2 linked regions of the Xenopus tropicalis genome follow. The protein of the gene in region 1 interacts with the protein of each later gene in a pairwise test. Links are inferred from orthologs where the notes say so. Each region holds a gene or a part of one and is shown on either strand. Other genes may lie near its edges.

What was found.
Region 2: the proteins of shfl (region 1) and tns2 interact in binary tests that used the Homo sapiens proteins (3 or more experiments, as listed by UniProt). The link is inferred for Xenopus tropicalis from reciprocal best matches to the Homo sapiens genes SHFL and TNS2.

What each region holds. Positions count from the first base shown.
Region 1 is NC_030679.2:136,804,586-136,807,210, reverse strand, and holds the end of shfl (shiftless antiviral inhibitor of ribosomal frameshifting protein homolog), read left to right. Parts: intron 1-354; coding exon 355-503; intron 504-830; coding exon 831-1,051; 3' UTR 1,052-2,108; downstream 2,109-2,625. Other genes in the region: angptl6 (angiopoietin-related protein 6), read right to left, coding at 2,537-2,625.
Region 2 is NC_030678.2:147,615,972-147,620,303, forward strand, and holds the start of tns2 (tensin-2), read right to left. Parts: upstream 3,036-4,332; 5' UTR 2,956-3,035; coding exon 2,881-2,955; intron 1-2,880. UniProt on the Homo sapiens protein: Tyrosine-protein phosphatase which regulates cell motility, proliferation and muscle-response to insulin. Phosphatase activity is mediated by binding to phosphatidylinositol-3,4,5-triphosphate (PtdIns(3,4,5)P3) via the SH2 domain.

The sequences.
Region 1 (2,625 bases):
GGAAGACCAATTGAAAAGTAGCTAAGAATAGGCAATTCTATAACATACTAAAAGCTGATGTGAAGGTGAACCACCCCTTTAACAAACAGGGGTTATTAACAAACTAGGGTTGCAGAATAATAAATAGGACCAAAAGGGTCCTGCTCGAAAGAGCTTCCAATCTTATGTACAAAGATGGCTGCTCCCTCCCTGATCAGTTTCATGAGTCAATCACTTATGTTTTCCTTGCATGTTCTGTGGCTCAGCACAAGAATATATTATAGAATATATACTATAGATGACATTATGATACGTTGGTGTGCCTCCCATACAGACTTATGCTACTTCTCTAATTTCTGTCTGTCTTTTCCCTAGGGGTTTCGGGCAGATAGAAGTCAGCAGTCCGTGTTATGTGTGTAGAAACCCTGTGCTGCCCAGCTGTATCCTCCCACCTCGCCGGAACCAAGGCCCTCGAACCCGCAATACTCACAGCTGTTTAGCCGAAAATTGTTACAACCGAAGAGGTGAGTAGGATTCCACAGGGGGAGGAAGGAGAGATATTGCAAGGGGTGGGCTCTATTTACCAAGCACGTCCTTCTAAGCTGGCCATACACAGTCTGACAGTAGATGCCAATATGGCCAGTGTTTATAGGTCCAACTCATAAGCCCGCCAACGGTTCACCACATCAGGCTGTTGATGCAGTTTTACCCCAAAGGACCATTTGGGATCCCATTGGCTTGGGAATGAATGACTGGATCAGCCCACTTTAGCTTATGGCCATATCGGCCACTCATTTGGTGAATCTTTACAGCCATAGCCAACTCTGATCTCTTTAATGCCCTCCTTGCAGTACCCTTCGTTGCTGGCCTGCAGTGCGCCCATCCAAAAAGCCGAATCATGAACCAGCTCCCCAAAGTGCTGCACCCCAGTGAGCCCCACATCAGTACAGGCTCCACCATAGCAACCTGCCTGAGCCAAGGGAGTCTGACCGAAAACGATATTGATGACATCATACTGGACGATATCAAGGAGGAGGAAGAGGATGAGGGAAGTGATGACAGTGATGGCTAAGGACACGTGTTTATTAGGTACCCGCTGGCCGAGCGTAAGTGGAGAGTGGCTTGGCCAGACCGAGACCAAAGCCCAACACTGTCAGAGCCTCTCCATATAACCTGTAGGCCACTGGCTTGCTTCTGTTTAATACTTATCTCTCTCCTGGCTGCAGATTAGAACATACTCATTTCTATTTCAGTTCCTGTAATTTCAGTTTATCAGTGTACCTAGTGCAGACGAAAGCTGAGTCACATTGGCTTAGCCAGCAGAAGTGTAGGGACTACGTTCCCATAGTGCCTTAATCTTTTTCACAAGTAACCAGAACTGGTCCATACAACTCACACTTCATATATCCTTCACCAGCAGGACTTCATACTCGTCTTAAAGCTTCATTTGCTCCATATATTTATCAATATAATCTTTTACTTTAAAGCCTTATCCTGCTCCACAAAGTCCTCTTGGCTCTCCATGTAAGCCTTCCCTATAGACCTTGTTGCTGCAGATATTTCCTATCTATAACCCCTCCCTATAACTCCTCCTATTGCTCCATATAACCCTTCCCTATAACTCCTCATATTGCTCCATATAACTCCTCCCTATAACTCCTCCTATTGCTCCATATAACCCCTCCCTATACCTCCTCCTATTGCTCCATATAACCCCTCCCTATAACTCCTCCTATTGCTCCAATTAACTCCTCCTATTGTTCCATATAACTCCTCCCTATCACTCTTCCTATTGCTCCATGTAACTCCTCCTATTGTTCCATATAACCCCTCCTTATTACACTTCTGGTCAAACTCCTCCTACTTCTCAAAATGACACTTGATTTAGGTGCCTGTAGCAGAAGCCAGAGTTAGACATGAATGTAGCACTTATTGCTTTTAGCAGATTTGCGTCTGCATCTTTTGCTGCAAAAAAAGCATTGGCACTTAAGCCCCCTATAAGGGTCACTTTCCATTTCAGTTTCTCTTTTTTGAAGATGTATATATTTGAAAAAAAAAATTGTTCTTGCTATCTTAACGTGTTTTTCTGAAATGCAAAGATTTTTCAGAATAAAAAAAAAAAAAAATAAGACTCGAAAACTCGATTGACCTTTATCTGAAACCATGAAAAGAGATAAAAGATTCATATATGGAAAATGATGATACATGGGATTTACAGTGTATATAAACTCTTTATTATACATACATGGCAATGACCATTATAAGATGATCCTGAGCAATGGATCAGTGCTAGGGTTACCCCCACCCTCTTATTAAAACCTCACACATATACTGTATCTACATCGCACTTGCCCAATTAACACTGCTGCAGCCTGCACTGGTTTTTGCATCAGATCAATAGCCATTGAAAACAGATGTTAAAGGGGGTATGTGTGTGTGTGAGAGAGCAGAGATGTCAAGTGATCCCATATCATTGGGGGTAATAGAGATCCGCTTTTTTGAGGCCTTATTTCATGCCATAGGGTTACTTGATGTCTGTGCAGGGTGAGTCTAGTCATTATACATTTGGTTTGATCATCATGGACACCTTCTTAAGAGAGTAGGCACCACCGCGAAATTCAGCCCAATACACTCCATCTTGGTAGC
Region 2 (4,332 bases), on another chromosome or scaffold:
CTAAGGCCAGAAATGTTGTACATTATGTATTGGGTTCCTGTACCAGCCCAAGGCACCCACAGCCCTTTAGCAGGGAAGATCTGTGCCCCCAAAGATGCCCCAGTAGCCCCCCATCTTCTTTTCTGCTGATTCGCTGCCCATACTCTGTGCTGCTGTCACTTAAATGAGCTTAGGGACCAACTCACAATATCCTGTATATATAGAATATAAATGTCACAATATAAGGCTGATTAGTAAATAATACTGATAATTACTACATGGCAGCTTATAAACCAGTGCAGTTAGCATCAGAATTTAATAATCAGCCCTGTAGCATCAGTTTATATGATAGACCAACCTCATTTTCTACTTGAAAATTTGTGATGACTCCAAGGCTCAGCTTCTCAATAGATGCTCAGAGCACACTGAGCATGTGCAGTGTCACTGACACTTCCCCTGTGACAAGTTTGAAGCCCTGGATCATTGCTGCTATTGAGATGCTGAAACCTTAGGCTGGTGCAATAAGTTCAGTATATAAAGTATGGAAATAAGTTCAGTATATAAAATATGACTTTTTTAAACATATTTATTTTTAGGGTTTAGTTGTCCTTTAAGGCATCTGCATCAACAAAAACTTTCTTATGGAATTTCTGTTAGCAGCTAACTTTCTTTCACATGCTCAACTGCAAAGGAGTACAAACAGTAATGTCACTGTGATTCCTATAGCTACAATCGTTCCAATAAACCCATATATTTCTTAGTTACCAAATATTATGTGTCCATCCATTATAGCAATGGCTTATATAGAAACTACATGAACTCAAATCTTTTTAGGGACCCCAAAACATAAAGGTGCAACCATAGAGTGAAATTGCACATTAATCTGGGTAGCAGTTGGGTTTGTCATGTTCCTTCCATGATAGTTTATTGAGTGCATAAATAACATTAGACTAAAGATGTAACATTTATTATCCAATAGGAATGAAGTTTGGAGGATTTGCTCATACTGACACAAACACTGGGCATCACACTACAGCACTAGCAGTCTGGCGCTTAGAGCACTGTGTAGGGGTGAGGGGAGCTGAAATATACAGCACTTTACAAAGTTTTTATCCTCGATACATTCTTGCCCATTGGCCCTAAGCAATAGACAAGGAGAGAATTCAGTGAAATTCCATGAATCCAGAGTCCCAAGCTACCCCTGCTGGGATGTGAACTGGAGCCGGGGAGAGAGAGGGGGGCAGAGGCAGATAGAGACCCCCTGGGGATGGGTGGGCGCAGCAGGGTTTGGCACGTCTCATGATCATTAAACACCTTACTTTACCTAATGAATGAGCCACTGTTCTCTGACTTTCTCTCTCTCTCAAACCATTTTAGGTAATTTTGTCAGTCTACGGATCCTCCTGCCAGCTCCCTGCCCTGTGTGCCCCTGTGGCTGTGCACTGCTTGCATGGTATATTACTTTGCCCTGCTTACTCTATGTACCCCTATGCCCTGCACTGCTCTATGTACCCCTGTGCCCCGCACTGCTCCTCCACATACCCGTGCCCCGCACTGCTCTATGTACCCCTGTGCCCCGCACTGCTCCCTCCACATACCCCTGTGCCCTGCACTGCTCTATGTACCCCTGTGTCCCGCACTGCTCTATATACCCCTGTGCCCCGCACTGCTCTATGTACCCCTGTGTCCCGCACTGCTCTATGTACCCCTGTGCCCCGCACTGCTCCCTCCACATACCCCTGTGCCCTGCACTGCTCTATATACCCCTGTGCCCGGGACTGCTCCCTCCACATACCCCTGTGCCCTGCACTGCTCTATATACCCCTGTGCCCGGCACTGCTCTATATACCCCTGTGCCCCGCACTGCTCTATATACCCCTGTGCCCGGCACTGCTCTATCCCTGTGCCCGGCACTGCTTGCTCCATGTACCCCTGTGCCCGGCACTGCTCCATTTACCCCTGTGCCCAGCACTGCTCCATGTACCCCTGTGCCCGGCGCTGCTCCATGTACCCCTGTGCCCGGCGCTGCTCCATGTACCCCTGTGCCCGGCACTGCTCCATGTACCCCTGTGCCCGGCACTGCTCCATGTACCCCTGTGCCCGGCACTGCTCCATGTACCCCTGTGCCCGGCACTGCTCCATGTACCCCTGTGCCCGGCACTGCTCCATGTACCCCTGTGCCCGGCACTGCTCCATGTACCCCTGTGCCCGGCACTGCTCCATGTACCCCTGTGCCCGGCCTGCTCCATGTACCCCTGTGCCCGGCACTGCTCCATGTACCCCTGTGCCCGGCACTGCTCCATGTACCCCTGTGCCCGGCACTGCTCCATGTACCCCTGTGCCCGGCACTGCTCCATGTACCCCTGTGCCCGGCACTGCTCCATGTACCCCTGTGCCCGGCACTGCTCTATGTACCCCTGTGCCCGGCAAGCTGTAAGAAGCAGGCAGCCCTAATGCAGAACAGACACGCAGGACTGGCACATACCTATTACTGTGCCCCAATTACTGCCGAAGGGAAGCGCAATCCCGGGCAAGAATGGGGACCAACCCTAATTAGTGGGCGCCTAATAACTGCATCCCGGTGGCACCATGCCCGGTACCAATGCAGCCAGTAGCGGGTCCATGCCAGGCAGGGGCACACGGTGCCAGTAAAGATGCTGGGGGCTCCCCTGTAACAGCAGGGGGATCGCTTGTCTCATCAGATGGAACGTGTCATTAACCCATTCGGTGCTGACAGGCCAAGTCCCTAGTACTAAGGAGATGAATCAAGTTGTAGCCCTGTGGTGCGATTAAGTCTCTGTGCTTTTCGTGCCACTCGCCTTCCATCACTACAAAGTTTCATGGCTTGGGGATAGCGAATAGCAGAGCAAATGTACCAAACAAGCGGCCCCAGTATCCTACCTCAGTCAGACGCATGGTCCTGTCGGTGCGCCCAGCTGTGTGTCCCGGCCGCGCACAACTCCCCGCACAGCCCATGCAGCACAATTACATGACACGTCCCGGGCACAACTACCTGCTGCCGCCGCGCAGCAAAACAAACCCCCGTGTGTGAGCGCTGGGGAGCTACCGACAAGCCCCTCCCCCGGGGCGGGCCCAGGAGCAGTGGGCGGGACCTGCGCTTACAGATACGCGGCTTTGGCTCAGGAGGGCAGCGATATCGGTATCGGAGAGAATTTGATTTTTCTTTTATATGTTTTATAGTTTCCCCTTTTCTGGGAAAAAATACCGGCATTCATTTGATATTTTTTCTCTGTTAATAACATTGGCATGAAGCATCGCTTTACCTGCCAGGCTGGTACTCTACCCATGGGGCATACCTCTCTGGCACTTTGGAGCTGGATTATTAATGCAGAAAGCAAAACTAAGCTCTGCATTCAGGAACAACTAGAGTTACCAGATGTGGCCGAAATAAAGTGCCAGCTAAAGCAGGTGCCTAACCTTGCCTTCATGCTCAGGGCAAAAACTGGCAAATCTATGGGGTGCGTTTTTTCGTAATGATCGGTACTTTTGCAACGTTTCGTCGCCGTCGCGACTTTTTCCTATGTCCCATGATTTTTTCGTCGCCGTTACAACTTTATCGTATATTTTCCGCAACTTTTTCCTCACCGTCACGAAAAAATCGGATTAGTTTTTCCGCCGTTTACTATTGCTCAATACGAAAAAATCGCGACGGCAACGAAAAAGTCACGCAAAATACGATAAAGTTGTGACGGCGATGAAAAAATTGCGCAAAATACAAAAAAAATGCGACGGCAACGAAAAAGTCGCAAAATTTTCATTTCCAATCCAATTTTTTCCCTTCGGGATTTGGATTTGTGCATTAGTAAATGTGCCCCTAAGAGTTTCACATTGGACTCCCCCTGCCTGCGTACCCCCCAACTGTCTGGTTTACTAGCAGCACAGCCCACTGTCCCTGATCTCTCTTTAAATGTCCTGCGTTGCCCCATTCTTTGGCTCTTTCCCCCTGATCTCTGAAGATCTTTCTCTCCTTTGATAGATGGTGTGGAACACAGCTGTCTTTAATTTTGATACATCCATGTCAGCTATTGCAGTGCATGGAAAGCAGCATGGCAACAGAGAGAGGGCAGGAGAAGACAAGTTTGCAGCTTTCAATCTATTTTCTGCAGTGATCTAACTAGCATATCTAGGGTTAATGTGTTCATTGTCCATTTTCTGCAATATCTGGGTCTCTACCTCCAGTATTCCCCGCTGTGCTCAGCCAGCCCTTGAGATGTGCTTCCAGCCACCTATTTTTCTGGACTTGTGCAATAAACCCCAGAAAGATTTGGTTTTTTTTGGCAATAATGTCTATTTTTGGTCTAGTTTGTACATTAGTACATTTTACTGTCTGCT